Linked DNA regions of Canis lupus familiaris. The protein of the gene in region 1 purifies or fractionates together with the protein of each later gene. This does not show direct contact. Links are inferred from orthologs where the notes say so. Each region holds a gene or a part of one and is shown on either strand. Other genes may lie near its edges.

Region 1 (4,090 bases):
TTGTTCCCTCCCAAAAGTTCCCTTTTCTTATCACCTCTGTTTTTTAAAAGTATGAAAGGCTCGGTCACTGGAGAAGTTGGCACGATTGTCTGTTTCTGGCTGAAAGGAGACAGCTTGAGCAGAGGGTGGCATCGCCAGAGAGACCTAAAATATGGCAGTGACATTAGGGATGGAAACCCTCACAGGTCATACTCAGAAAACTTCACCCCCGCGTAGCCCAGTGACACTGGAGTGGCATGCCCTGGGGCTGCCTGGATTATGAGGCTGGGAAAGGCCGGGTCCTGGATAGATGAGGTCCCTACCTTGGCAACACTGCCCTCATAGGCAGCCTTGAGGCGGCCCTGCAGAGCCGGTGAGAAGCACAGCAGCCGCTCGTTCTCAGCCAACAGCTTCAAGGTCCCCTTGTCCAGGTAGGAGAGAACCCTACAGGGGTACAGGGATGAAGGCACATAGGACTAAGACTGGGACGAGCCACATATAGGAAGCGGGCACCTGCACATCATAGAACACGTTATCTGGAGCATGGAACAGGTATGCAAGGCTAAGCCATGGGCTGAGCGTGTAAGATGCTGGAGGCCAGAGACCAACTAGAGCAGGGAAACATTAGACATAAGCCCATAGGGCAGATGCCAAGACCACAGGGGGCAATTTGATTCTCTCCAGAGTTAAGTTCATGGCCTTGACACAAAATTAGAGGCTACATACAGGAAGAGGCCCAGGGTCCCCGCGCCTGTGTGAAACACAAGCACTAACCCCAAGGGGCCAGAGCAGTGAGTGGGCAATGGGAATAAGGCTTAAATGCTTCAGCTGGGGAAACTCACTGAAATTGATGCTCCAAAACCTGCACAGCAAAGAAGACACAATCATGGACACTCTGGAACAGAGGGCTTTCCAGGGAATCTAGAAGGATAGTACCAAGTTGTCAGTTAAGAACTGTTCTATCTCCAGACCTCATTTCCCAAAAAGAGGCTTGCCCACTGACCTGGTGCTCCTGGAGTTGGTTCGAGGTCACTGTCCTTGGCGGCCACCATCCTCCGAGCAGTAAGGAGTTGAAGGATGAAGAAAAGCTCCAAGAAGAGGTTTGGTACCAAGTTCTCTGGACATAAAAAGAAATCCCAGGGTGTCAGGCACCATTCGGAAACAGGGCTCAGTTCTGCATGCCTTACCGTTTCTCCTACCCCGCAGTTCTGCAAGCATCTCCACTCCAGCCCTTTGCCCTCACCTACCGGCAATGCATGAAGAGTAGATGAGGGCTATCAGCTCCAGGCGCTGGCGGGACGACACTCTGGCAGGGTCAGCGGCTTCAGCTGTGAGGTTTCCTGTCCGGCTGGGGAGGGGAGACCCCGATTCTGAGGTGGGACAGGCGGGAGTAGGTGACTGTTGCAGATGCTTCGAGCTATGGGGACAGAGAGATGTCATGAGCACTTCCCCGGCTTCCCCTCCACAGCCACACTCCGGTTCCTCCAGAGCAGACGTCCACAGGCCAGGAACCAGACCCAGGGCTCCCAGGGGCGAACCGATCTCAGGGAAAAGCCCTGCAGATCCCCCAGTGGGAGGGAGCTGCCAACCCGGGGAGTGGCAAGGTCGTACCGCTCCTTCCTGAGCATCTCCCGCTCCTCTTGCAGACTTCTGCACCCTGGGGGAAGGCCATGGCCCCAAGGGCTAGTGTCCGGGACTGAGGGTTGGGAACTGGGGACACAGCTGATTGGGGGTGAGGTGAAGCAGGTCTTGGGCTTGGAGAGTGACCGCTCTTCGCTCACCGGAGTTGGGTTGATCCTACGTGAAGGCTTCGTCCTGCTGAGTGGCCACAGGCTTTTCTCAAACTCCTACCTTCCACCGCGGCCCCGTCCACCACCGCTACGGCTGGCGGGGGCCCTGGCGAAGCTCCCGTCTCGCTAGCGTGGTCGTCCCGCCCCCAACCCCGGCCAGTCTCGCGCTGAGGCGGCTTCTCACCCTGCAGGGCCGGGGGGGAGCGAGCCCACGGGAGGGAACTCCTCCAGGTTGCTGAGGTTCGGCGGGTCCGAGCGCGCGCGCCCGGGGCTGCCGGGGCTGCCTGAGCTCCTGCGCCTGCGGCCCGCGGCCCAGGGCGGACTCTCTCCGCCGACCCCCTCCTCCAGGCCCCCGGGGCCGCGGCCCCCACGCTCGCGGCCCGGCCCCGGGCCCCGCCTCCTGCCCCCGCGGCGGGCCGGCGGGGCCTCGGCGGCCGCGGCGCTCGAAGGCTCAGCCGGAGGGAAGAGCTGGCTGCGCGCCCCGCGGCCGCCCCGCGACGGGCCCCCCGGCCTCCCTGGCAGAGCCGCCGAGGAGCCCGGGGCCTTGGCGGGGGTCGGGGGGCCCTGCGGGAGGACGCGGCTGCTCTGCTCCCTCAGGAAGTTCAGCAGGAACGGCACGAATTCCTTCCGCAGGGGCCGCAGGGAGCGCAGCGCGGCCGCCTCCCCGGGGTCATCCTGAGGGAGAAGCGGCGAGTCAGCGGGCGGCCCGGAGCACGAGCCGCGGGGGCCGCGGGGGCCGCGGGGGCCGCGGGGCGCGCGGAGGCGCGCGGAGGCGGGCGGAGGCGGGCGGCCCGGGCAGCGGCCCCGACTTGGGCGCACTCGGCCCGGGCTGACAGCCAGGCAGGCTCCTGAGGGGAGGCGGCCGGACGGCTGGGACCTCCCGCGGGAGCGGACTCGGTCAGGCCTGGGGCGAGCGAGCGCTGTTACCTCCGAACTCTGGGCGCTGCGCGCGATCCACCGCACGGCGGCTGCGACCGACACCTCCTCCCGCAGCAGCGACTCCAAAACGGCCGCCATCCCGGTCCGGGCGCTTGAAGGCGATTGCGCAGGCGCCGGCGCGCCACGGGCGGCCTGGGAGGGGCGGGGCGGGCGCGGAGGAGCGACCGTTGGGCCGCGGGACGAAGGGGCGGGGCGGGGGCGGGGCCGGGGCCGGGCGGGGGCGGGGCCGGGGCGGGGCCGGGGCGGGGCCGGAGCTTCCCTGGCCCGGGGTCCGGCTCAGGCCTTGGGTCAAGGCCGCTGCTGGGGGGGGCGCGGGGGACTCGAGGGTGAGCAGTTCTCCCGAGAGAGACACCTGACTTATCTAATGTGATAAGCACAGTCTTTCCAGAGTTTGTTTTCTAGATTCAGCCATCACCACCCTAAAGAAGTTAGGATAAAATTAGCCTAATTTCATTTGACCTTGTCTTGCTCCAAGGTTGAGTTTTCCATCCCCTGGCCTACGGGCACCCACCGGTTCTCCAGCCATTGTCAACTGATCCACCATTTGTGTCTAAGAATTTTTTTAAGGTTTATTTATTCATGAGACAGAGAGAGAGAGAGAGAGAGAGAGACAGGCAGAGGGAGAAGCAGGCCCCCTGCAGGGAGCCCGACGCGGGACTCGATCCGGGGTCCCCAAGATCACGCCCTGGGCTGCAGGCGGCGCGAACCCGCGGAGCCACCCGGGCTGCCCGTGTGTCTGAGAATTCTTGCCGGGACTATTTTTATCATCTTCTGCTCAGCCCTCAACACACAGGATGGCCTATCTGTATCTTTACACAAGGTTATTTCGACTACTTTCCAGTTGAAATGTTAAGAGGCATATTCTTGTGTTAACTCATTTCTCGTTTGGAAACACAAGATGGGCAGCGCTTTGGATGTTGCTACTCACTGAGAGATCCAGACGGGGAGACCAGGCGGAGGAGGGCAGATGGCACCGGCACTCCAGGTGGGGTGAAGCAGCGCCCACGTGAGTGCCTCCCAAGAGCTCCTCTTAGCACCTGGCAGGTGTTTTTTTGGTTTTGTGTGTGTGTGTGTGTGTGTGTGTGTGTGTGTGTGTGTGTGAAGATTCTGAGAGAGCCCAAGCACAAAAAAGGGTGGGTTAGGGGGAGGAGCAGAGAATCTCAAGCAACTGCACACTCAGCAGGGACCAGGACCCGGGGCTCCATCCCACAACCCTGAGATTATGACCAGAGGGGAAAAGAAGAGTCTGATGCTTAACCTGCTTAATGGACCCAGCCACTTAGGTCTCCCTTAGCACTTGCAGTTTTATTACTTCACCTTCAGTTTTATGACACAGGGAAGAATCTCCTCGTATCCTGGCACTCTGGTTTTTATCTGTAGGG
Region 2 (3,067 bases), on another chromosome or scaffold:
TCAGGTCTATAAGCCAGTTTGCTGCTCTGCCTAAACTTACACAATGTGCACCCTATCAGGCAGCTATCTGCACCCATGTTCCTAGGTCCACCAGTTTCCAGGAAGGAAGAGTCAGGGCACTTCTGTGAATTACAGGGAAATGGCTCACCAGCCAAACCAGTCTACTGGGCTGTATGGTTACAAAGTAAGGTTAAGTAAAATTTAATAAAAGTGTTGCTGCGTGTGTCCTTGGAGCATGATGTTAATTTCTTCCTGTGGGTCAAGGTCAAAGTCTAAAAAATCACTGGTTATGCTCAATCCAGAACAGCTGGGTTGCTTAACTTTTGACAAAGAAAAACCCCTCCCTGAACCTCAGGCTGGAGTACAATTATGTAACCAATTAAGACTAGGGTAAGAAGCTGAGCAAGGGAACAAAGGACGGTCAGCCCACTGGCTGGGGCCAGAGCCCCTTCACGACATCATGAAGAGAGATGGACAAATCTGCTTCAGCCCACCTAAGATAAAAGCAGAATCAGTCTAGAGGAAGTGCTTTTTATTTTTAGATCAACCAAACATATTTAATATAAAAACCTTTTAATATACAAACTGTAATCACAATTGCATCCACGTAGCAGCGAGGGAATGGGGTGTTGCAGGGAGCATGGCAAGGGGAGAGGTTTTCAGGGTCCCTATGGTTTCCTGTGCCTGCAAGAGCATGAGGTCTTCGCAGAGGGCAGATTAAGGCAGGCAGAGGGGCCCTGATGCCAGCATTGAGACAGACTCCACCAACCTGCCACCTTCCCACCATGGCAGCCTCCAGGGAAAGCCAGATCCAATTAAGAGAGGACAGGAAGGTGGTTGTACGGAGTCAACCATCATTCCTTAGCATCCTGCTGAGCATACCTTTGGGAACAGACTTTTCCAGAGGCTGTTGGATTAAAAGACCTAAAAACTATCCTAGGAGGACAGAAATTGTGTCCAAGTCCACCTTCTAACCAAGCTTGGTTCCTTGCCTGTGACTCCAAAAAGCTGGGTGGATTTGCTCAGATGTTTGGGGAGGGACAGGAATGACAGAGCCTTCGGCTCAACAGGCCTGGAGCCTTGCCAGGCGTTGACCAAGAAATCCTCAAGGCAAGCCAGGGAGGTCTGTGGGAAGAGCTCTGGGTCAATGGTACTCACAGGAGCATGGTGGCAGAAAGGCCTGCAGGTGGAATTTATAGTGTGTGTGTAAGACAGAAAAGACACATGTCACAAAGAATTAAAAAGTGAAGTACCTGCTTCTTACAGGCCTGGGCAGTAGAGGTAAAAGCTGATCCTTCTGGGTCAGTGTTGGGAGAGACCTGAGGCCTGCTCCTTCCTCAGAACCACGTCTGGCTTGGGTATAGCTGATGGCCCCAAAGTCCTCTAGATGGCCTCCGTGGGATTGTCCAGGAGGCCCAGCTGCCCTCTCCAGATGTGCTAGGAGACTGGCCACAGTCCCGGCTGGGCCCAGGTAGGGCCTGGATTCCTCGAGTTAGATGCAGTCCATGGAATTCTCGGGTAGGAGCCCAGGAATGCAACCTGGGAGACCCAAGCCTTTGATGGGAGCACAGCTGAAGGGGAGGCCACAGCCCAGGGTGGGGTCCTGGTTCTCTATGGCCTCTAGTCTGTCCATGTTGTCCCAGTTGATGTGGAAGCGGGTCACTCGGGGGTTTGAGGCCAAGATGTTCCTCTGGAGCTGGGGCAGAAAGAGGAATGTCAACCCTTGTCAGCATGCCCCGTCATTACTCCCACAGAGCCAGGGCACCCCAAGACCCTGCCCCAAGGCCAGGAAGAACAGAGCTTACTTATTCCATCACCATCAACAACTATGTGTAGAACTCCCGGGAGTGCCTATGTACTGTGATTTAGGGCTGAGACCTATCTAATCTCAATTCTGCCAGGCGTGCTTCTGAGAAACAAAGACCTTTCTCTCTCTGGTTCTGGTCTGGAGCTCCAAGATCTGAGCAGGGCTTGAAAACCTTAAGAAGTGACCTTGGCTCCCAATTCCAATGACTCAACTCCCCCAGGTGCCAAAGAGCCAGCCTGTCCGAGGCAGGAAGTGCAGAGACAGGCCCCACCTGAGAGAAGTCTGGCTTCAGGGGTGGGTTCTCCCGCAGCTCAGGATTGGGGTATTCATTGTTGACGTAGTAGCCCACACGGATGAACTCCTGTCCATGGTAGGTGCAGGTGATGAGGACCACGGTCACACCCACAGCATCAGTCTCTGGGATGAGGGATGGGTTGGGGGCATCAGCCTAGAGGAAACACACCCCGTGCCTTAGCATTGATCGTACAGCCACACCTCTACCACTTAACACAATGATTTTCAAGCAACACATATTTACTGAGCCAAAAGGTATGGTCTCTGACAACAGGAGTTTCTAATCGAGTGGGGAAGACACAATCAATCTTGCAAATGCCTGTAAAATGCTCAGTGTGACAAGTGCCACAAAGAAGTAAATGTAGTGCTGAGAAGTGTAGTGAGGGGGGGTGGAGGGGTGGCATAAGATAAGGCTGTACAAGTGGGCAGGTAGGGACCAGGGCGCCCAGGGTCTTTTGGGCCAGTTAAGGGCTTGGGAAGGAGCAAGAATGTCTAACAGGAGGTAAGTGCTGCATCACTCCTGTGGTCTGTAAAGAATGGCATGCTGTGATGGGAGGAGGGCAGTTGTGGGAGCAGAGACTGGGCAGGTTACAGTCAACCCAGAGTGCAGACAGCGATTTACACCAGGAAGGAGAGGACAGAGGCAGACACATTTGGGGTGTGTTGTTATGGATAGGACCCGCTATATAACTGGTACAAAATAAAACCAAAACGAGACATGGGGTCCCTTATTCACAAATTAGCAAGTTTTAGCCAGCGACAGCAGAACGTTATACCAGGTGCCGGGCCCTGTGTGGCTGCATGAGCTGAATGCTCAGGAAGCCAGCCTTGCTCGTGGAGTGGAGCAGGTGGGCTTGCTGGTGGCCTGGCTACAGGTGGGTGAGGCGTTTGGGGATGGGATGAGGTTGCCTGGACTGGGGTGGGAGCGGTAGACTGGGAGGTAGGCAAGGATTTGATTTTTATATA

What was found. The genes of interacting proteins can lie anywhere in the genome.
Region 2: the proteins of CDAN1 (region 1) and ASF1B purify together in Homo sapiens (co-immunoprecipitation; 5 studies listed by BioGRID and IntAct, counting the BioPlex papers as one, with this or other methods). This does not show direct contact. The link is inferred for Canis lupus familiaris from reciprocal best matches to the Homo sapiens genes CDAN1 and ASF1B.

What each region holds. Positions count from the first base shown.
Region 1 is NC_049251.1:9,959,312-9,963,401, forward strand, and holds the start of CDAN1 (codanin-1), read right to left. Parts: upstream 2,803-4,090; 5' UTR 2,787-2,802; coding exon 2,697-2,786; intron 2,445-2,696; coding exon 1,954-2,444; intron 1,798-1,953; coding exon 1,591-1,797; intron 1,397-1,590; coding exon 1,227-1,396; intron 1,097-1,226; coding exon 983-1,096; intron 901-982; coding exon 822-900; intron 424-821; coding exon 303-423; intron 145-302; coding exon 35-144; intron 1-34. UniProt on the Homo sapiens protein: May act as a negative regulator of ASF1 in chromatin assembly.
Region 2 is NC_049241.1:48,802,688-48,805,754, reverse strand, and holds the end of ASF1B (histone chaperone ASF1B), read right to left. Parts: intron 2,256-3,067; coding exon 2,079-2,255; intron 1,697-2,078; coding exon 1,493-1,696; 3' UTR 516-1,492; downstream 1-515. UniProt on the Homo sapiens protein: Histone chaperone that facilitates histone deposition and histone exchange and removal during nucleosome assembly and disassembly. Cooperates with chromatin assembly factor 1 (CAF-1) to promote replication-dependent chromatin assembly.